Linked DNA regions of Pelodiscus sinensis. The protein of the gene in region 2 binds, or shares a complex with, the protein of the main gene of each other region. Links are inferred from orthologs where the notes say so. Each region holds a gene or a part of one and is shown on either strand. Other genes may lie near its edges.

Region 1 (11,880 bases), on a different chromosome or scaffold from region 2:
CCCCACTCGCCAGCTGCGCTGTCCAGCGATCTGCGCATGAGCAGATCGCCCAAACGCGGCTCTTCCGGGTTGCAATCTACTCACCACAGGCTAGTAGATTGCATTAATTTGTCGAGCCCTGGTAGAAGTAATGAAATAGGGATAAGGGACTATTAACTGAAGTAAAATAAGTGTAATATTTAAAGAAACTCTGGAGAGAGCAAAAGCAAGAATACTGTACTGCAGCAAGTTAGAAATTTGCTTTTATTAAAGATACATTTTTAAATCTCATACGAATGCAAGTAAATACCAAAATCTAAGGATTTTAAGGGGTGTAAAAATTTCCTCATCCTGCTCTAACAAATAAACCTGCAATGGAATGTAGACATAGATTGCAACTTCTTACTCTGCAAGACTTGCACCTAAGTCTTAGAGGAAGTTTTCCCTTAGATCTAGGAACATTAAAACTCTTTCACAACACCTATTTAACTAGAGGGTGAATGAAAGCCACTTTTGGCCTCAACCAGTACCTCAATTCCTTAATACTTAGGATTTTTATATCACAACAGTACTCCAGTCATCCAATAGCCAAGACCTGACACTTTTTGGTTAAACAGCAGGGGTTTTTTTTTTTTTTTTTTAAATGAAAAGTTTCCCCAAACCTCCCAGGCTTGCTTTGTAGAGTAGAAAGAGAAAGGAAAAAAAGCCCAGTTTTTCCCCTTTTGCAGATCACTTTAAAGATGAATGCAAAATTATTAAAAACAACAATTTCAATTAATAAAGGTTGTCTGTGTGCATTTTAAATTCCTATGACAATTAATTTTACTACACATACACTTCATTACCTCCCAATGAAGATGTTCATATTAACAAATTATAATGTAAATATTTAGACATTAGAAATCTCTTCAAACTGGCATTATAAGGAAGTTACATAATATACTCAAGTGTCTCCATACAAATTTACACTTGTAAAATTTACCTAAATTCTTTCTAGATAATCACAGAACAAGGACTTACAGAAGCTTCTCTTCTTCATCTCTGTAGTCACTGACAATATTTTGCTCAGAATTTAATGCAGAGAATCTGTTTTGAGAAAATCCTGAACTTTTATTGCCACTGCCTGGTGCTCCATAGTCAGAGGATCCAAAAAAAGCCTTTCCATCATTTCTGCTGCCACCCCACGTAGAGGGTTTAGAGAAGTTAGAAGGTTGGACAACACTGGTGTATCTCTGGTTATGGCCACCCCATCCTCCTCTGCCAGTACCTTGCATTGAAAAAGAGAAAACAAATATTCTTTCACATTTTCCTCATTACCACAAATCAAGTGAACCAAGTTCACTTATGTATGCTAGTACTGAAAATTACAGAGCATGAAGAGAACCAATTACTAGAACAGTTAATATTTTTAGTTGTGCATTATGTGATCAGAGTTTATTTTATTTAAAAAGATGTATGTACAAATAGAGTCCATGCCTGCAATTACACATTAAGCCATCATTTCTCAAACTGTGGGTTGTGACCCCCAGGGGGGTCGCAGCTGGATTCGTTTTTTCACTTGTGACCCCTCTCCCCCGGGCCACGAAGAGAGGCAGGGCAGTGTAAGGCAGCCACTGGCAAGCCGCACAGTGTAGCCAGGGCCGCAGGACTCCTGGAGCACGGCTCAGCTGCAGTAGGAGGCAAGGCGGTGGGAGAGCGAGGCCAACGCAGTAGCAGATGCGCAAGGGGCGGGGCAGGCCAGGGCATAGTTGCTAGGTGACTGAACTCTTCCCCAGCTGGGAGAGGGCGAGGTCCCTCAGGCAACAGGCTGGGGGATTGGGTCAGGGCAGAGGACCTGAAGGTAAATAAGGGCACATGGGGGTCAGAGGAGAGGAAAGGAACCAAAGGGATGCGGAGCGGAAAAGAAGCACAGAGGAGAAAGAGATGGGGGAAGGGGCCTGCAGGGGGGAAGGGCGTTGAGGACTGCAAATGCCTTAAAGGAACCCCAGGAGGGCAAGGAGTCTGGTGAGAAGGGGGGAGGAAGAGACCTGGGGGGGAGGGGGTTCCACACAAATTCATTTAGCATTTTAGGGGGTCATGGTATCACAAAATTTGAGAACCCCTACATTAAGCAACTGTCATCATGTGAGCATAATTAAGTTAAATGGGACTATTTATTTCCAGAATGGGGTCTTAAGATATCTCATTCATATCTTAAAACCTTTCAAGAGGCCAACACACTATATGATATTAATCCATTGTTACTGCAAGTAATAAAGATTTTAAGGGCTGAGATCAGCTCTAATATCTGAAAGATTAGAAGTATTTTCACTATTCTTGTTTATTTTGCCCATTTGATAGCACTTAAACACCAATCCTGAAAGATGACCTGTGCAGCCCAGACCCTGCCAGATCCAATCCACATGGTCAACTTGGAAGAAAAAGCCCCTCATTTTCACACTTCTTGTGAGAGATTTCATAGACCCAGAAACATTACAAAAACAAGGGAACATGTGACTAAGCTACAAACATTTGCTAGGAGATTATGAAGGTAGGTATAAGCATAAAAAACTACTTATAACAATTATGAAATGGAACAGATTCAAGGATGGCAGTACTCCTTACAAATCATAAGCAAGTGTTTCTGAGGGGTAGCTGTATTGGTCTGTAACTGAATAAACTTAAAAAACAAATAGTCTTGCAGCACATTAAAAACTAACAAAAAATGTAGTTGATATCATAGGCATCTACATTTTTCGTTAGTCTCCAAGATGCTGCAAGACTATTTGTTGCTTAAGTGTATTTGTTAAATCATAAGCAATTTATCAATGTATTTAATAGGCCCGGGCACTTCAGTTTCCTTTCAAACGGTCCGTTTTGTAACAACAAATTGTGGCACTGTGATGTCTCTTTTGTCTATGGAAGAGAAATGGAAAATCATATGCAGATGGGGAATTGGGCAAGGTTTCTCTTCAGCATACTTGTAATTCATCTTCCTTAATACTAATGTCAGAGTCCTATTAGAATTCCAGTAATCAAGAATGGAGGATTGGGGGAGGAAGAGGAAAAACAGGTTGAAAACAACACACATTCTGGTTTATTGTTTCCTGAGCATCCAGATAGGCTATAATTTCAAATGAGGGAAAAAACCTCTAACTTCTCTATTTTATAAATACTATTACTCCAAAACTATTAGTCATTTACAATAAATACCCACTTGAGCTATGTGATTTAGTGACAATTGCAAGGATGACTCACCACTTATAAAGAGGTAAAATGTTCAACTGTTTGCTTGCTACTAAATACGTTTAGTATTTTAACTGAAAGTTATCTAACCCTCAACTTTAAATTCCTGAGAAAACCTACAGCATTTGGTGCAGCTAAGTTCTGTATTTATATGTGGTAAAACACAATTCTGTATATTTCTTTTAAACTTTACTAGCCAACGAATTGCAGTCACATTTTACCAGCCCCGTTCATTAAGGAGGGGGGAAGATTTCAAGAGGCCACCTGTCAAAATTTATACATTACCCTAACCCCACCACAGAAAGCACTCAAACATCAAGAGATTAAGAGCTGCACCAAGGTTACAGTATTAGTGTGACAGAAGGGAGATTAAAAAAGGTCTGACTTTAAATAGGTTGCTGCGCAGAAGACAAGAATATCCAGACGTCTAACAGCGAACCCTAAGGAGAACCAACAAGAGTTCTGGCAGGGACACAGAGCTACAGGTCTTATGGCAGAACCCGAGCTCTCAACAGGGGACAGGGGGTTGTCAGGAAGAACCTTTTCCGGGCGCAGATTATCCCAGGCCTGCTAAATTCCTGGCACCTTTCCCCGAAGCTGCACCCTGCGGCGGGCGGGATACGGGACTGGGACCGACCAGGGTAATCACGTCTATTGGAAGCGCGCAGGGACCCAGGCTCAGACCAGGCCCGTCGGCGCTAGGCTGGACTGGTCAGGGAGGTGACCGGCTCACACCTCACGGGGGGGGGGGGGGGCAAGCAGCGTCCCAGACGCTTCAGCCATTAGCGCCGCAGCTGGGCCCTGACCCGGCCGGCTGCACGCGAGCCCCGAAAGCGGGGATCGGGACCTCGGCTGCCCCGGCGAGAGCCCCCGGGAGGGCTGCGAGGGGCGGAGGCGACCAGCCGCAGGCGGAGGAGTTGAGAGAAGCGGGTACCCTGAGAAGGCGGCGGGGCCGGGGCCGGGCGCCCCCCGCCGCGGGGATGCTCGTTCCAGCACCTCTCGCCGAAGCGGCAGCGGCCCTGCAGGAAGAAGTGGCAGATGGTCATGGCAGCGGCCGGGGCCCCCGAGTTCCGGCCTCCGTTGCGTCATAGCTGCCGCGGCTAACGACACCGGCCGACAGAACCACCCACTGCTACGACGTGCAAGGCCCGCGACCGCCTCACCGCGTGACATTACGGCGCTTCTGAGTGACGTATGCGAGCCTTTGCCCAGGCGCGGGAGAACGTGAGAAGGCGGTTCCTGACTTTTACCGGTTGTGCGCGAAAGTGCCAGTTGAGCGGCCCAATGAGAAGCCCAGCTGTTGCTCCGCCCCTTAAGCCCTGGGTAGCGGAACAGCCTATGAGAGCGCGTCCTTAGCCTTACCTGCACGTGCTATGATTGCCATCGCTGTTCCTCTCCTCACCGCCCCCAAGTCCGGACTGACGCTCGCGGCCCGCCTCCACCACAGGCTTGGACGGGCCGCCGCGAGGGACAAGCCTTTGACTCGCGCGCCCAGCGCTGCAACGATCCACTGGGCAGCGGCACGCGGGGGAGAGATCCCGTGACTCACCCCCACGCCTGCCCTGCGGGGAGGCCTCCATCCCTGGCTACAGCTCTGCGCCCCTCCCCCAGGCGTGACCCCCGCTGACACCCTCTCCCTGCTGGAGCGACCCCCTAGTAATGGTGAAACAGCGGCTGGTCTCTTCTCAGCGGGGACACGTCACCAGTTACCTGTAGACTATAAAGCCCCTGGTCTGGGACCTGCTCATCCCCCTCTCCCCTGGAAGCTTCAGGTGGTAGCTGAGTTAGTCTGTACAGGAGAAACAAAAACTGGTCTGGTAGCACTTTATAGACTAAGGAGACATGTAGATGGTATCATGAGCTTTCACTGCCCAGGAAAGCTCATAATACCATCTCCCCTGGAAAACAGATCGTTACCCTCTCCCTATGCAAAAGAGAAAGTGAATGCACACTGCCAACACAAGAGGGAGATAGGGATCCACCTTGACCCTCTTCCCATAGGTGTAAGGGAAAACAGGCTCCTACTGTGCCAAACATTGCACCTTCATATTATGCATTTTTATATATAATGCATATTGGGAAAAGTATAGCAGATAAAATGTGATAGTTAAGGATCAAAATACAGGACTATGTAGCACTTTAAAGACTAACAAGATGGTTTATTAGATGATGAGCTTTCGTGGGCCAGACCCACTTCCTCAGATCAAATAGTGGAAGAAAATAGTCACAACCATATATACCAAAGGATACAATTAAAAAAAATGAACACATATGAAAAGGACAAATCACATTTCAGAACAGAAGGAGGATGGGGGGGGGGGAAGAGAAGGAAGGTAAATGTCTGTGAGTTAATGATATTAGAGGTGGGGAAAGGTAGATGTCTATGAGCTAATGGTATTAGAGGTGATAATTGGGGAAGCTATCTTTGTAATGGGTAAGGTAGTTGGTGTCTTTGTTCAACCCCCCACGGAGAGTGTCGAATTTTAGCATGAATGACAGTTCAGAGGATTCCCTTTCAAGTGCAGATTTGAAAGTCTTCTGGAGTAGGATGCATGTAATTAGGTCCTTTGGTATATATGGTTGTGACTATTTTCTTCCACTATTTGATCTGAGGAAGTGGGTCTGGCCCACGAAAGCTCATCATCTAATAAACCATCTTGTTAGTCTTTAAAGTGCTACATAGTCCTGTATTTTGTTTCAGCTACAGCAGACTAACACAGCTACATTTCTATCACTATAGTTAAGGATAGCATTCACATAGGGAACACTATCTAGCTGATAGGCCAGCTCTATTTTAAACATTTTAAAAATCCTACAAATTACATAAAATACCAGAATTATTTCAATTGCCAGATAAACTATCAAATTGTCTTGATTTTAGGATGATGCCAGCTTCACAGCTGTATCATGAAGTAGGGCATAGGGATTTGTCACTAAACTGTTTGTCACAAACAGTTGTGTTTTTTAAAGTTTGTGTGGTGAGATAAGACTGAAGAAAACATATTTACTGAACATCATTTACTGACCCACAAGCTTCACTGAGGTATTTGTTTCATTTCCATCAGAAAGTTCCAAAGGATGCTTCTGATACCAAACACAGAAGCCTTTTAAGTTTTATCAATACACATGCTTGATACACAGAATTATCTAAGAAAAGTTTTGTTGCACTCTTCATAATCTAATACTTGCTACCACTAATTCAATGAACCAAGTTCAGCATGCTCTAGCCTGCAAGCTAGAATATATAGCATGAGAAATCCCAAATAATCATAAGCTTGAACAGATGTACATAAGCAAGATCTTCTTTACTTACAGCAGTTTCAACAAAATGTTCCACTGAAGTTGCTTTTTAACTGTGCTATGACAATTTTTTTTCAAATCCCTTCTTTGTATTTATAAATTTATCTGTAGTTTAAGAAAATTATTAACTCAATGGAAAATAAATGTGCTTCAGAATCTTAAAAACATGCTAGCAGCTATAATAATCAGCCTGTTCAACCCAGAAAGTAGAATTTAATCCAGTCCATGAGATCTGAGAAAGATAGTGAGATCTGGAAGCTGGAAATTTACCAAATTTACCAAGAACTTGGAGCAGAGCATCTTAAACATCCATTCTCCTTTTGGAAGGGTATCCGTTAAAAAATATGTACCAATGTAATTATTTTTTTAAGATGTCAATGCTGTCTTGGTAGTCTAGAAGGGAATGGTCTGAAAAAGGATAGCAGGTTATTGGACAGATAGAATTACAGGAAACCCCCAACATGAGACCACCCGAGTTCTGACCCCCTGCACTTACAGCCATTTTTGTAAGTGCGGAAGGGGCCGAAACCCCCCCAACTTAAGTCTTCGGCCCACATTTACGACGACGCACATGGTAAATGAGGGGTCGAGTTACAACACCCGCAACTTGCGACGCTTCCCCAGGAACCAATCACATCACAAGTCGGGGGCCGCCTGTAGAGTGAAAATTTTCATGAACTAACTGGTAAGTGTACAAGAGGTTAGTTGACAAGCCTGGTTTATCTATACTGTGAACTGGAGCACCATGGAACTTGGAAGATTATATTGTATCCATGTCTACAGTGAAGTTTTTGATGATTCAGGTACATTTTTAGCACTGCACACTTAATTGCCCACAGATTTTTCAAATTATTTTCCAAATGTATAAGTCTCTTTAAAATTGAAAGGAATTTATGTTTGCATGGTTATAACTAACTTATTACTTCTCCCCACCCTCCACATCTTCACAAATGGATTGGCTTCCATATTTTTAGCACATTGGTCTAGGAAAACAAATTGTGACTTGATCCCAAGTGCCCAACCTGATAGTACAGAGCACTTTTGTGTTGAATAAAATATGCAATCAAACCTCAAGATTCTGAGTTTTGTGATAATTTAGAGGTCTTTTTGTGTAAGTTCCTCAAAGTGCCAAATCAAATAAGGAACAAAGTTTCTGTAATATACATGTGGCCTGTTTAATTTTTAAAATGAGTATGCACTGAAATAGTTATCAAAATGATGTATGAACAACAGTGGTATAAAACTGCCATACTACAGGCAGGAGCTGTGCAAGTTATGAGTTCACATATCATTCCTAATCCAGTATACCCCTTGTGTTGCAAGGTTGGTACTAAATGGCTATATAAACAAGAATGGTGGTTGTGCAATGTGCATAAAAGAGAAAGAACAGTATGAGGAAATTCATTTTCGCCTATGACAACTTGTATTAATTCACCGTGGGTATCTAGAGAATTTCTACGTCTGAGCTGTAGAATGTATATTAAGAACAGCCACACTAGGTCAGACCGAAGGTCTGTCTAGCTCAGTATACTGTCTTCTGACAGTGGCCAACATCAGGTGCTGTTCATTCCCTCTGAAGAACAGATAATCAGAGTGATACATCCCCTACTGCCCATTCACAGCTTGTGGGACACCATTCCTGCCCGTCTCAGCTAATAGCCATTGATGGACCTCTCCTCCATGAATTTTTCTAGTTCTTTTTTTAACCCTGTTATAGTCTTGGCCTTCACAACAATCTCTGACAAACAGTTCCACAAGTTGACTGCAGTGTATGAAGAAATTGGGGATGTAAGCAACTAGTAGACTACCCAATAAACATATGCTTATCAGGTAGTCAAGTAGTGACTTAACTAGTCGCGTTTCCCCTCCCCGTGCCTCTATAAGAGAGAGGCAGTAAAGGAGTTAGGGGGGAGCGGGAGCCAGTGCTGTGAAGAGTGGGCTTAAAAGCCAGTTCTCCTGCCCCGCCCCCGGTCTTGGGGGGGGGGGGGAGGGGGCAAGAGAGGAAAAGGCATGGGGCCGGGGGGATGGACGACCAGGCATTAACTGGGAATCAGCTGTCCCAACTCACGCTCAACCCCAGATGCTGTGGCTCTGCCTTTTAAATGTATTAAGACCTGGCAGCTCTTAATACATTTAAAAGGCAGAGCCACAGCAGGGTTAGCTCCTGGGGCCCAGAGTTATCCCTGCTGAGACTCCGCAGTTTCCCCTCTTATAAACTAATCAGGTAGTAAATGCAATTTAACATCCCTAGAAGAAATACTTCATTTTGTTTGTTTTAAACCCCTGCCCCTAAATTTCATTTGATGATCCCTAGTTCTTGTGTAATGACAAACAGTAAATGACACTTCTATGTTTTCTTCACACCAGACATGATTTTACAACTCTCTATTATAATCCCCTTAAGTCATCTCTTTTCCAAGATGAAAAGTCCCAGCCTTATTAACTTTTCTCCTACAGCAACTGTTTTATACTTCTAATCATTTTTGTTGCCCTTTTCTGAAACTTTTCCAATGCCAACATATCTTTTTGAGATGGGGCAACTTCATGCCAAGATACGGGCATGCCATGGATTGATATAGAGACAATGTGATATTTTCTGTTTTATTATCTATTCCTTTCTTAGCGATTCCTGCACATTAAGCAAATGTTTTCAGGGACTTAACCATAATGATTTCAAACTGTCTCACTTGAGTGGTTAACAGCAAATTTAGACCCCATCATTTGTATGTATGTATAATTAGGATATTTTTCTAATATGCCTTACTTAGCATTTATCAATATTGAATGTTATCTGCCATGATGTTATCCAGTTACCCTGTTTTATAAGATCCCTTTGTAATTCTTTGTAGTCTGGTTTGCACTTCAGTATCTTGAATAAAGTAATGGCTTGCACGGTACCTTCCACAGCCTAATGACTTAACCAATCAACCAATGGAGGTGCTAATTGTTCTTATCAGCCTCTTGTAACTATTTGAACTATCTACTCACTGTCTTTTTTTCCCTCCCCCTTTGTGCTATTTTTTTCCTCCTCGCTCCTCCCCTTATTTATTCTTGGATCTGGACTTCTAATACTCCTGTCATCTAAGACATGGGTTGTGCCCATGAAAGCTCATGATATCATCTACTTGTTTTGTTAGTCTTTAAGGTGCTTACTAGACTATTTGTTGTTTTTAAGTTTTTTCTGAGATTTAGGCTAAACTATATCAAATGCACTAACATTTTCCAGATAACTAAGCTGAAGGGTGAGGAGAGAGGCTGGTTAGTTTTTGGCAAAGCCACACAAAAAATTTGTTCAAGAAAACATGTCGTGTTCTGAGCTAGGATACTGGAATCTTGAAATACATCCCATCTTTTAGAACAAAGGGTAAAAATTAAATGGGCACATACTGTATATACAAATGTGAGGGCTACATCTCAGTTTTTCAAGATTATTCAGTTTAACAAGAATCAATAAAATCCAAAAGCAAAGCACCGATGGCCATCTTTTCCAAGTCTCTGAAGAATGTCCTGACTTCTCCTTGAGGCCTTCATGTCTCTAGCGTTTCTTCATTTGCTCCACAAGTATCAACAACACAGATTAAACAACTCGTCACTGGGAAAGCACGGACTTTGGAGTTTGCTATCCACTTGTCTGTTTCAGTATTATACTCAAGGATGTGCCCTAATCGGCCCACACCCTGAAAGCCAGCCAGGACATAGACTATAGAGCCCACAGCAGCACACTTCACTGTCACACCCTTCCATGGCATTGGTGATACCATCTTCCATTCATTCATCTTAATATCATAATATTCCACGTTGTCTAGGCCACCTTGAAATAAATCAAACAATTATTAGCAATATGAACACTGCTACTGCTTACCAAAAAAATCTCACCGAAAAGGCCTTTGACTCACAGTAGTAGAGGATATTTTAATCCATCATATATCTTTTCACAATGTGAATATTTATAGAACATGTATTTGTGTAGAGAATGCATAACCATACAGGCGGTAATATTTGTATTGCTGGAGTTCCAGCTGTGTGTTATTTCCAATTACAAGTTCCTGTTTAATAATTCTTCATTAAGCTTTCACTCCGGGCTGAAACTGGACATCCCAACTGTGTTTTTTTATTAAAAATCAATCCCTCCTCCCTTCTTAAGAAGGCAACATGGTCTGTAATTGGGATTAGCTGCTTTTTCCCCCCTCAAAAGAGAGGCGGCAGCAAGGAAAGTGCTGAAAAACAATTACAAGACCACAAACAATTTTAATGTACCATCCAATCCAAAAGCACTTTTATAATCAGTGCCTCACAACACTATCACACCTAGGGCAGAGAGGAGTAGTAATTCCCAGTCTTAAATTCTGACTGCTCAGACACACGCGATTTTGAGAACTGTTACCCTGAAAAGATGCGTAATCTATGATGATGGCTGTTATTTATAAATTTATTTCAGTGCCGTCACTGTGGTGAAAGTATTTAGTTAATCACGCCAATTTTCACTAACAAAAAGTTAATTTCAAAATACTATTTTGCCCCACTTGGAAGTCATAGATATTTTCCAATTCAGTGTTCAACTAGCAGGCTCAAAGGGTGGAGTTTCTGAGTGTCTCATTACGTGCATGTGAGATGCATCTACATATCATTCTTTGCACTGAAAACTACCATTATGTTAGAATACCGTTAGTTTATAATTTGCCATTTAATTAGCATTAATGTGAAACAAAATATTCCCATTGTTAGCATGAATAAGTAATACAGTTAGCATCTCAGTAATTCTCATCTTCAAAGCACTTTAGAAACATTACCTAATTAACTTTCAACACTTCTGTGAGGAAGGTATTATTATTTCTGGTTTACAGGAAGGGAGAGAGAGGATAAGACTTGCACGAGAGGATAAGACTTGCACAAGACTACCCAACAAATCCTATGTTAAGTATCTAGGGCAGTCAAAACAGGTAGTTTCACCCTTTTTAATTGTAGATTTGTGATAATTCTTTAAATTGTAAATTCCTCAGGGCAGCAACTGTACCATGTTACCCTCTTGTCAGATGACAAGTTAATCAAGTTAACCCTGTTTTACAAGAAGTTTCATTTAATAGTGGGAACAAGTTCCCCCAGCTTCCTACTGGCAGTTCCACCAAATCCAATTTCAAGTAGGATAGACTGGGAAGTATCTAGGATACAGAGAGGTAGGAAGAAAGGAGGCAACTGTGGAGGGCATGTGTTTTCTGTCACCCCAAAAATCAAAGAAATGGAGATAAAGATCATAAAATGAAGTTTTTGAGAGTGGCAATGTTCAAGAAGTTAAGCTTAGTAATTCTCCCAACCAAGCTGAAAGAGAAACCTCTCTCACCTGTGATCCTGTCTCAGATTGTGTGTCAAAACTTTTTT
Region 2 (11,841 bases):
CACAGTACTCCAGATGTGGCCTCACCAGAGCCGAATAAAGGGGAATAATCACTTCTCTGGATTGAAAGTCACAACTGAATTGTCAGAAGTCCTCTCTCTCTCAGTCCCATTATGATCACTAAAATGGTCTTCCTTGTCCATCTATCTGACCAAGCCATCAATATATCAAATTTTAAAGTGATAATAAAGCTCAAGTCATAAGAACATAAGAACATAAGAACGGCCGTACTGGGTCAGACCAAAGGTCCATCTAGCCCAGTATCCTGTCTACCGACAGTGGCCAGCACCAGGTACCCCAGAGAGGGTTGACCGAAGTCAATGATCAAGCGATTTGTCTCCTGCCATCCCTCTCCAGCCTCTGACAAACAGAGGCCAAGGACACCATTTTATCCCCTGGCTAATAGCCTTTTATGGACCTAACCTCCATGAATTTATCCAGCTTCTCTTTAAACTCTATTATAGTCCTAGCCTTCACCGCCTCCTCTGGCAAGGAGTTCCACAGGTTGACAACACGCTGTGTGAAGAACTTCCTTTTATTAGTTTTAAACCTGCTACCCATTAATTTCATTTGGTGTCCTCTAGTTCTTCTATTATGGGAACTAATAAATAACTTTTCTTTATCAGCCCTCTCCACACCACTCATGATTTTATAGACCTCTATCATATCCCCCCCTCAGTCTCCTCTTTTCTAAACTGAAAAGTCCCAGTCTCTTTAGCCTCTCCTCATATGGGACCCGTTCCAAACCCCTAATCATTTTAGTTGCCCTTTTCTGAACCCTTTCCAAGGCCAAAATATCTTTTTTGAGGTGAGGAGACCACATCTGTACACAGTATTCAAGATGTGGGCGTACCATAGTTTTATACAGGGGCAGTAAGATGTTCTGGGTCTTATTTTCTATCCCTTTCCTAATAATTCCTAGCATCCTATTTGCCTTGTTGACCGCCGCTGCACACTGTGTGGAAGTTTTCAGAGAACTGTCCACGATAACTCCAAGATCTCTTTCCTGATTTGTCATAGCCAAATTAGCCCCTATCATACTGTACGTATAGTTGGGGTTATTTTTCCCGATGTGCATTACTTTACACTTATCCACATTAAATTTCATTTGCCATTTTGTTGCCCAATCACTCAGTTTGGTGAGATCTTCTTGGAGTCCCTCACAGTCTGCTTCTGTCTTGACTATCCTAAACAGTTTGGTATCATCTGCAAACTTTACTACCTCACTGCTTACCCCTTTCTCCAGATCATTTATGAATAAGTTGAAAAGGATTGGTCCCAGGACTGACCCTTGGGGTACACCACTAGTTACCCCTCTCCAATCTGAAAATTTACTATTTATTCCTACCCTTTGTTTCCTGTCTTTTAGCCAGTTCTCAATCCAAGAAAGGACCATCCCTCTTATCCCATGGCCATGTAATTTACACAAGAGCCTTTGGTGAGGGACCTTGTCAAAGGCTTTCTGAAAATCCAAGTATACTATATCTACTGGATCCCCCTTGTCCGCATGTTTGTTAACCCCTTCAAAGAACTCTAATAGATTAGTAAGACAGGATTTCCCTTTACAGAAACCATGTTGACTTTTGTCCAACAAATTATGTTCTTCTACATGATTCACAATTTTATTCTTTACTATTGTTTCGACTAATTTGCCCGGTACTGAAGTTAGACTTACCAGTCTGTAATTGCCAGGATCGCCTCTAGAGCCCTTTTTAAATATAGGTGTCACGTTGGCTACCTTCCAGTCATTAGGTACGGAAGCCGATTTAAAGGATAGGTTACAAACCACAGATAATAGCTCAGCAATTTCCCATTTAAGTTCTTTTAGAACCCTTGGATGAATGCCATCCTGTCCCGGAGATTTGTTAACATTAAGTTTTTCTATTTGTTCCAAAACCTCCTCTAATGACACTTCAATCCAGGACAGTTCCTCAGATTCATCACCCACAAAGGACGGTGCAGATTCAGGAATCTCCCCAACATCCTCAGCCGTGAAGACTGAAGCAAAGAAATCATTTAGTTTCTCCGCAATGGCTTTATCGTCTTTGATTGCTCCTTTTATAGCTCGATCATCTAGGGGACCCACAGGCTTTTTAGCAGGCTTCCTGCTTCTAATGTACTTAAAAAACATTTTGTTATTTCTTTTTGAGTTTTTGGCTAGCTGTTCCTCAAAATCTTTTTTTGCTTTTCTTATTACATGTTTACACTTGATTTGACAGTGTTTATGTTCCTTTCTATTTATCTCACTAGGATTGGACTTCCACTTCTTAAAAGATACCTTTTTGTCCCTCACTGCTTCTTTTACATGGTGGTTAAGCCACGGTGACTCTTTTTTAGGTCTCTTGCTATGTTTTTTAATTTGGGGTATACATTTAAGTTGGGCCTCTATTATGGTGTCTTTAAAAAGTTTCCATGCAGCTTTCAGGGATTTGGCTCTAGTCACTGCGCCTTTTAATTTCTGTTTAACAACCTCCTCATTTTTGTGTAATTCCCCTTTTTGAAATTAAATGCCAGGGTACTGGACTGCTGAGGTGTTCTTCCCACCACAGGAATGTTGAATGTTATTATATTATGGTCACTATTCCCAAGCGGTCCTGTAACGGTTATATCCTGGACCTGATCCTGCACTCCACTCAGGACTAAATCGAGAATTGCCTCTCCCCTTGTGGGTTCCTGCACTAGCTGCTCCAAGAAGCAGTCATTTAAGCTATTGAGAAATTTTATCTCCGCTTCTCTTCCTGAGGTGACATGTATCCAGTCAATATGGGGGTAATTAAAATCCCCCATTATTATAGAGTTCTCTATTTTGGTAGCCTCTCTAATCTCCCTCAGCATTTCTATGTCAGTATTGCTGTCCTGGTCAGGTGGTCGGTAATATATCCCTACTGCTAATTTCTTGTTATTGGAGCATGGAATTTCTATCCATAGCGATTCTATGGAACATGTTGATTCACTTAATATTTTTATTTCATTTGATTCTACATTATCTTTCACATACAGTGCCACTCCGGCACCCACCCGGCCTGCTCTATCCTTTCTATATATTTTATATCCCGGTATGATTGTGTCCCACAGATTTTCCTCATTCCACCAGGTTTCAGTGATGCCTATTATGTCAATCTCCTCATTTAATACGAGGTACTCTAGTTCACCCATCTTATTAGTCAGATTCCTAGCATTTGTGTACAAGCACTTTAAAAATTTGCCACTGGTTATTTGTCTGCCCTTCCCTGATGCATTGGATTCCTTTCTATGCGATTGTTTGTCAGCTCTGGCCAATGGTTTGCCCTCTCCCCTCCTCTCTTTCCAACTACAGCTTAGAGAATCTCTATCAACGGATTCTCCTCTAAGAGAAGTCTCTCTCCGATTTACGTGCATCTCCTCACCAATCGGCTTTCCCCCATCTCTTAGTTTAAAAACTGCTCTACGGCCTTATTAATGTTTAGTGCCAGCAGTCTGGTTCCACCCTGGTTTAGGTGGAGCCCATCCTTCCTGTATAGGCTCCCCCTCTCCCAAAAGTGTCCCCAGTTCCTAATAAATCTAAACCCCTCTTCCCTACACCATCGTCTCATCCACGCATTGAGACTCTGAAGCTCTGCCTGCCTATCTGGTCCTGCGCGTGGAACTGGAAGCATTTCCGAGAACGCCACCATAGAGGTCCTGGATTTCAGTCTCTTTCCTGGCAGCCTAAATTTGGCCTCCAGGACATCTCTCCTACCCTTCCCTATGTCATTGGTACCTACATGTACCACGACCACCGGCTCCTCCCCAGCACTACACATAAGTCTATCTAGATGCCTCGAGAGATCCGCAACCTTCGCACCAGGCAGGCAAGTGACCACCAGGCAGGCAAGTCCTTATTCAACTCCTCCTCAACCTAAGTTTCTGATCTTATTTTTTCCTTACTTTTCACTCTGCCAATAATACTCATTTTCCAGTTCCTGTCTCAATGCCTTCTTCCATATCATCCTCTGTGCAGAGAAGGCCTTCTCCATCCTAGTTCATCAAGCCATCTGCTTATTAAAATTCAAATTCCTACTGAATATCTACCAGAATTGATAACATAAAATCTCCTTAAGCCTACCTCTGTATTCTCAGGGGTCCTGGACAGTTTGCAGGCTCATTCTGTGTCTGTATGGGCAAGAGTACAGTCTGTGCTTTGTTCTTGTCTACATTACACATGCTCTGCAGAAATATCTATACCAGTACAGCACCCTAATATAGATACAGCTTATATATGCAGGGGCTGTTTCAGTGTGAATTTGCTAATATCTCCCAAAGATTATTGTGGACATGAACACTCTTCCACCCGCACATCTCCATCTGCCTAAGCTAAAAATGCTACAGATGCACCACAGGGATAGCATGAGGGGATCCCCCTGACCCTACATACCAGGGATGGCTGGGAGTGGGTGACCCACTGATGGGGGGGAACTCTCTGGGCCTGTCCCTGGGTGAAGAGCAACTGCCCTACCAGTGTATGAGGGTTTCCCAGACCCTCCCACACTGGGCTGGCCAGGAGCAGGTGCTCCCCTCTTTTGTGTGCCTGAGGGGGTCCCGAGCAGGGAGAGCTGGGACCTCCCACTGTGTGGAGATGGCCGTGGCCGGAAGCGGGCGCAACCCATTTGGGGAGGCGAGAGAGACTGGCCGGAAGCGGGTGCAATCCATGTGTGTGGAGGGGAGGTGTCCCAGAAGCTGTGCAGCCGGGGGTGAGGAGGAGGGTCCCAGAGCGGGATTGGCCGGAGCGGTAGCAGGCAGCGCTCCCCCGCTCCGCACTCACCTCACCGCGCAGCAGCCAATCCCGGGAGTAGCTCAACTGCCCCTTGCTGGAGCCTTTCAGCGCCTCCAGGGTCTCCCAGCGGTACCGCTCCGACGGCATCTCGACCCAGCCCCAGGCTCGCTACCGACCAGTTGCAGCTCCGCCAACCGCCGCGCATGACGGGAACACAATGACCTTTGACCCCTCACGCACGCTCGTTCTGTTTCCGGGCACCTGCAGTTCTTCTGCCCCCCCCTCCCCCTTCCATGAGGAAACCGCAGTGACGCTTCGGAGACGCCGTATCGTCCCCTGCTGGCGCGCAGAAAGCGCTGCAGCCCTCAATGGGCCTTGGGGTCTGCTGGTGCGGCGCCGCCTGTTAACCCCTCAGCCCCCCGCAGGTTCGTGTTTCCAGGGGCTGCCCGACGGGGAACCAACCGCCGCCCTGCGAGTGAAAACGCCAGGCCCCTGAGAGCCGGACATACTCCCCGTTGTGTCCGTGCCTGGGCTGAGCAGCACAAAGCGACCATCCCCTCCCCAGAGCAACTGCAACAGAACAAGATTTGTCTATGCTGATGGAAACGAGCCAGCTCAGCCAAGGGGCGGCCTCTTCAGAGCCAGTGATAGAAATGTAGCCCTGTTAGTCTGGTGTCACTTCAGGGTCTCTACCAAGCATGTATAACCCTCAACTACCCACCCGGAGAAGTAAAAAAGCAAATTGAAAGAGCCAGACGAATACCCAGAAACCATCTTCAAGACAGACCCAAGAAAACCAACAATAGATCACCACTTGGCATCACCTAAGCTTGAATAAAGACTTCTAATTATCTTACCCATTACAAAGATAGATTCCCCAATTATCACCTCTAATATCATTAACTCGCAGACATTTACCTCCCCCCCATCCCCTTTCCATTCTGAAATGTGATTTGTCCTTTTCATATGTGTTCATTTTTTTAATTGTATCCTTTGGTATATTGGTTGTGACCATTTTCTTCCACTATTTGATCTGAGGAAGTGGGTCTGGCCCACGAAAGCTCATCACCTAATAAACCATCTTGTTAGTCTTTAAAGTGCTACATAGTCCTCTTTCTTTTTTTCTTCAGAGACAGAATGATAAATAGCAAGTAAGCTGCAGCACAGGGAGCATGTGAAGGAGCCAGCTAGGGTTGCCAGATGTCCAGTTTTGAACCAGACAGTCCAGTATTTGAGTTTTCTGTTCAGGAAACAAATTGAGAAAATATAAATGTCCGGTATTTTCTAAATAAAATGTAATGTAGATTGTGATGTAATGTCAAGTGTGTCCCGTATTATTGTTGAAACCCTCTGGCAACCCAAGTCAGCCAACATTTTCATTTTCCACCACACAGCAGCAGAGAAAAGCAATACACGCTTATGCTGGCTATGTCTCGATTTTTCTGGGACAGTCCTGAATTTAAATACTCTGGCCCAGTGTCTCCATCAAATAGTGAAATGTCCCAGAATGCCCCACCAGACATTTCACTGCTTGATGGGGACACCAGCTCACAGGAAGAAGCAACCAAGAAATGGCTCTGTGCTATTGCTCCTTGTGCGGTGCAGCAGCCACCACCTCCTTCTCCCCCCAGTAGGGTGCATATAGGCAGCTCCATTGGAGGTTTGCCTGTGGGCAGTCCCTCCCTTCCCCCACAGGACCACCTCTGTGGGGCAGGGTCCTGGTCTGGTAGCCTCCTCCAGGCCGCTTGTTAGTACAGTGGCTGCCACCACTGCCGGGGGGGAGAGGAGGCTGGGCAGGTCCAACGCAAAACCCAGTGGAGTGGCTCCCGGATCTCCTTGCCTTGGAGCCCCTGCAGGAGCCACACAGTGTCTGACTGGGGCACTGCGGGGTGGGGCACGCTCAGGCTTGGCAGGTGCCAGGACTGCAGGGCTATGTCTACACTGGCAGGTTCTTGCACAGAAATATCTCGCGCAAGATCTCTTGTGCAAGAAAACGTCCACACTGGCCAGAACCGCATCGTGAGAACACTGAGCTCTTGCGCAAGAAAGCGTCCACACTGGCGGGAAGCCCTTGCGCAAGAACGTGTCTCCGGAAGCAAATTGGCCATGTCAGGAGGTCACTAGCACCTGACTGCCCATGTGTGGTGTGGAAAAAATTCTATTTCACAATGAGTCTAAACATTACCTGGAGAAAGAACACAAATTGGACATTTAGCTTTTGCTGCTTCCACATACCATTTCACTCTTTAAGGCTTTCCTGAAATGTGAATGTGAAGGTGTTATAGCTGTGGATTTCCTCATCATCATCCAAGAACAGCACCCATTTTAGGTGGCTGATCTTGGGTTTATACTGACTTGCTGTGTAAGGTCTGTTTTCTATCATTTTAGATTGAGCTCCAGGGTGACAAAATGGAAATGACAAGAGAGAAGTATCAGTCTGCCCAGGAGGAGAACAAGCAGCTGATCTTGAAGCTAGAGGAGCTGGAGAGGTTAGAATATATAACTAGTTTGCTCTCCATGTCTGATTTGTTTTCTCTTCTCCTGGTCTTCCTTAGTTAGGTGATCTGCCCCCAGGACATTGCTGGCTTCACCAGTCTCGGCTTCCCGAACTCTGGGGGAGCCGTAGACAGGACCCACATCCCCATCCGGGTGCCAGAGCACCAAGCGGCCCGGTTCATAAACCGGAAGGGCTACTGCTCTGTGGTGCTCCAGGCGCTAGTGGACCACCAGGGCCGGTTCCAGGACATTTATGTGGGGTGGTCGGGGCAGGCCCATAACACTCGCATCTTCAGGCACGCAGGCCTGTGTCACAGGCAGGCACCTACTTCCCCCAGCGGAATTCACCATTGGGGATGTCAGGATGCCAGTCTGCATCTTGGGGGATGTGGCCTACCCCCTGATGGCCTGGCTGATGCAGCCATACACTGGCCACCTGGACCACAGCCAGGCCACCTTCAACAGCCAGCTGGACTGGGCCCACAATCCTGTCGAGTGCGCCTTTGGCTGTCTGAAGGCACAGTTTAGGCGCCTCCTGACCCACCTGGACATAGGGGTGCAGCACATCCCGGAGGTCATCTCGGTATGTTTCGTGCACCACAATATTATTGGGAGGTGAGGGGGGGAGGCCTTCCTCCCAGGGTGGATGGAAAAGGGCCAAGCCTACCAGCAGCCCCACATGGCTGCCACCCGGCAGACCAATCACCAAGGGGTTCGGGTCTGGGAAGCCCTCTGGATGATGCTGGACCAGGCCCCACAATAGGCCACTCCTACACCTCTGACGCAGGGATGCCCCTGTGACCCCACTTCCTGCTCCCATCACCACCCCTTCCTGCCCCCCTTCCCTCACCTCCCAATAAATAAAATGCATTTGCTGTACATAAGGCACTTTTTTATTTACATTCGGAAGGGAGTGCACTGTGGGGAGGGGGGGACCCTGAGCTGGGAAGAGAGGGGAGGAGGGGACCCTGAACTGGGAGAGCCTCATGATGGATAATGGAGGCCTCTCCCACCTCCACGGGGGCGGGGGCGCCTCTATCCCTTGTGCTGGGTTGGGGCAGGCTGCACGAGGAGGTGCTAAGGGTGGGGGACCTGGGGAGGGGACATGGGCAAGGCAGGGGGAGAAGCGGGCGGAGAGCTAGGGGTGGCAGAGGGGGGGCCTGGCAGCCTTAGGCTGCTCCACAGGGCCCATCCGGTCAGCCATGGTGTCCAGGAGAGTGCAGACACAGTCGCAGCGTTCCAGGTACTGGCCCCACACCCGCTCCCGCCACTCCGCATCTGCGCAGATCTTCTGGGTAAGAGCGTGCTCCATGTGCTCAATTGCGCAGATGTGGCGGCGGAGCAGGTGGTGGCGGTCCCAGGAACACTGTGACGGGCCCTGGATCCTTTGGGCTGGCAGGATGGGGCTGGAAGGTCCCTTGCTGGCAGGGGGTCCCACTGCAGGAGAAGCAGAGGAGAGCAACATGGTCAGTGAGCCCTGCCCCAAATGGTGTTCCAGAGCCCCGTGCCCTCCTCCTAGCACATCACGATGCCCGGGGACAGGTGTGGCTGGTGAGGGGGAATTCCCCTGAGGCAGCGGGGGGTGGGTCCCAAGGTGGCCCAGGAGCCCCCAGGGGGGCCGTTTGTGCTTGGGGGGGGCCTCATGTGCCTTCCCCAGGGGAAGCTACAGTGTCCCAGAGGTGGCCATGGATGTGTGCTGTGTGCAGCATCCTTTAGGCTGTATGAGGTTAGGCCTGCAACCTTGGGGCTGGCCTACTCCTGACCAAACCTTCCCCTCTCCCCGGTCTGGTCGAGCGGAATCCTTGGAGTCCCATGCATGTGCTGGGGCTGGCTGCCGCTTCTCTGTGCCACTTGGTCTGGCTGCACGTAGGGTTGCCGGATGGTTTCAAGAAAACTACTGAACACACTTGACATTACATGACATTCTACATTACATCTTAGTTAAAAAATACCAGACCTGTTTATTTTCTCATTTATATCCTCTCAATTTGTTTTCTGAACAGAAAGCTCAGACTGGACTATCCAGTTCTAAACTGGACACCTGGCAACCCTAGCTGCATGAGGTTGCACATGCTGCATGCCTCTGCACAGCATGTGGCCAGGCTGTGCCATGTGCCACTACCTCTCTCCCACCCTGTGGCCCTCCCCCCACTTGTCCAGCACACTTGCGAATGGTAGCCACTGCACTCACCAAACAAACCCTCACAGGCTTCGGAAGATGCCCGGGACACATCCTGACTGCTGCTGGGCCAGGATGGTGAGGTCTGGCTGCTGTCCTCTGCCACCTCCTCCTTCTCCAGTGGCCTAGGTCAGACCACTGGGGTGGCCACTGCTGTGTCCACCTGGGACAGCAGGGGAGGGCCCCTTTGTCCCACAAGATCTGGTGCAGACAGTGATACTGGGGACAGTCAGTGGCTCCGCCGCCCCCACGCTTGCTGCCTGCACATAGGTGAGGCGCAGGTCCTTCACCTTGGCCCGGACCTATTCCAGGGTTTGGGCCGGGTGTCCCTTTGTGGCCAGCGCCTGGGCCATCTGGGCAAAAATGTGCGCATTTCTCCTCTGGGACTTGGGGTCCCGGAGGGCCTCCTCCTTTCCTCAGAGGTCCAGGAGGGCAGTCACCTCGGCGGTGCTCCACCATGGAGCCTGCCACTTGGTGCCCCTTCGGACTTGCTGGGTGCTCTGGGGTGGCTCCTCCGTGGGGTCTGAGGGACCTGGCTGAGGCTGGGCAGCTGCCATTCCTCCCTCTGGGCTGCTACCCTGGCTGCACGTGGCAAATGGCTATGCTCCGTGCCTGTGCCTTTAAGGGGAGGGCCAATTAGGGGGAACCAACAAGTGGTGATTGCCTGTACAGAGTGTTGGGGGGCACCTGCGTTTTTCACTGGAGGCCAATTCTCGCGCAAGTACGTGCTTGCCGAACGTCCACACTGCCCTCTTGGGCAAGAGCACCTGCACAAGAGAGCTTAAGCCGGATAGAAAACAGCGTGGCTCTTGCGCAAGGAACTGTCTCTTATCACACCATACTGTACATTTACTTGCGCAAGAGCAGATGGGCAGTGTAGACACTCTGTGGATTCTTGTGCAAGAATGGCTGTTCTTGCGCAAGAAGCCATGAGTGTAGACATAGCCCAGCAGAGGCCACCCGCAGTGCTATTTTTAGTACCACAGTCCAGGCCCTTGTGGGAAGCCCTGGGTCCAGCTGAAGTCAAATGGAAGTCGCATGAGGCACGTTCCAACCAGGGCAGCCTCACCAGAAGGGTCCTCATGTGGCTGCTGCTTTACTCCAGCTGGAGCCAAGGCACCTATAGGGATCGGGACAGCAGTACTAAAAATAGCACCACAGCCCTGGCTCTAGCCCCCATAAACTGCTTTCCACATCAAAGGCAGAAAGTGAAAAAACAGGCAGGGGAAGAACTAAGGAGAGGTGGGGGTAAGGAGAGAAAGGGGTTTGTGCTGAGGGGAAAGGAGCAGCAGGAGAAGAAAGGGGAAGGCACCAAGATGTAGGGTGGAGGAGAGAGAAATGCTAGGGGCAAAGAGGAGACAATGAGGAAAAGGGCAGAAGGGGGGGTAAGGGAGGGAAGGTGTCCATGGGGGGGAGAGGGGTTAGAGAAGGGAGGGGACAGTGTGATGAGGGGAGAGGAGAGTGGAGGGACAATGGGAGGAAGAGGAGAGGGGGTGCCAGGAGAAGAGGGATTGAGAAAAGGGGTGGGTATATGGAAGGCAGGGGATGGAGCAAGTCAAGTGTGAGGGGCATGAGGAGAACTGGGGCAGAAGGTGGTGAGGGGGTGGGCATCAGGGAGAAAAAGGGCAAGGAGCCAGGAGGATAAAGGGTAGGAGGGGCAGCAGCAGGCACCAGAGGAGCAGATGGGACAAGGGGGGTGGGAGATATGTCAACAGAGGGAAAAGGGAGAGGTTTATAAGATATTAATAACTTGGGTGCTACAGTGACATACATCCGAACAAGCACACACGAATTCAATACTGGTGCACAAGACAAAATTCTCTCTGCTCATGGGAGAAAAATCTTAAAGGGAACACTTCCCTCAGACTCCCCCCTCCTCTCCCCCCGGAGTTAATGCAATGCAAATTGGGTTAATGCTATTGCAGGATTGTTGCATGGGTTGGGGGGGGGGGTGTCCCAGTAGGGCAAAACTCATCGCTATTGGATAGAAATATGGTGGGAGGAGTTCTTAGAGGGGTCACATGACACCTTTTCTTCTGGTCAGATGTTCATCTTGACCCCAGGAGTACTACCTGCAGAGCGGGACTTCTTGTGGCAGGGGGGACAGCTAATGGGAGTCAGGGGGCATGACTAACATGTCCTTAATTTTGGTTCAGAAAATATGGTCACCATACACATGCTACTAAAATCAAAAGCCTTCTTTTGGCAAACAAAATTCAGAGTCCAGGATACATGGGCATTTGCAACCTTGATATTTCTTGATTCAGAATGAAACACGACTATGGTACTTTGTGCTGGAGGCTAAAAACTGAAATCTCATATCGGTCAGCAAAAAATACTGCAGGCTATTTTCTCCTCCCTTTATTGTGAGGATTCATTTTCCCCCAAGCAACTGCAACATTATTCCTTTTCTCATGAACAAATGTGTGTATTGGG

The links.
Region 1: the proteins of GLE1 (region 2) and NUP42 are in contact, whole or in part, in a crystal structure (PDB 6B4I), measured with the Homo sapiens proteins. The link is inferred for Pelodiscus sinensis from reciprocal best matches to the Homo sapiens genes GLE1 and NUP42. Residues at the interface, in NP_001003722.1 of Homo sapiens: Ile385, Ile593, Leu598, Asn599, Trp602, Arg603, Ala606, Gln607, Leu609, Asn610, Gln636, Tyr637, Gln638, Val639, Gln640, Lys643, Met644, Ile646, Leu647, Glu650, Asp651, Tyr652; in NP_001357375.1 of Homo sapiens: Asp185, Asn186, Val187, Leu188, Phe189, Gln202, Phe203, Gln204, Ser205, Lys206, Lys207, Phe208, Leu210, Gly211, Lys212, Ile213, Pro214, Leu215, Lys216, Pro217, Pro218, Leu222, Leu223, Asn224, Val225.

The regions. Positions count from the first base shown.
Region 1 is NC_134712.1:199,263,015-199,274,894, forward strand, and holds the start of NUP42 (nucleoporin NUP42), read right to left. Parts: upstream 4,329-11,880; 5' UTR 4,251-4,328; coding exon 4,139-4,250; intron 1,247-4,138; coding exon 1,000-1,246; intron 1-999. Other genes in the region: KLHL7 (kelch-like protein 7), read right to left, coding at 10,032-10,315.
Region 2 is NC_134732.1:11,437,426-11,449,266, reverse strand, and holds the start of GLE1 (mRNA export factor GLE1), read right to left. Parts: upstream 4,947-11,841; 5' UTR 4,878-4,946; coding exon 4,779-4,877; intron 1-4,778. UniProt on the Homo sapiens protein: Required for the export of mRNAs containing poly(A) tails from the nucleus into the cytoplasm. May be involved in the terminal step of the mRNA transport through the nuclear pore complex (NPC).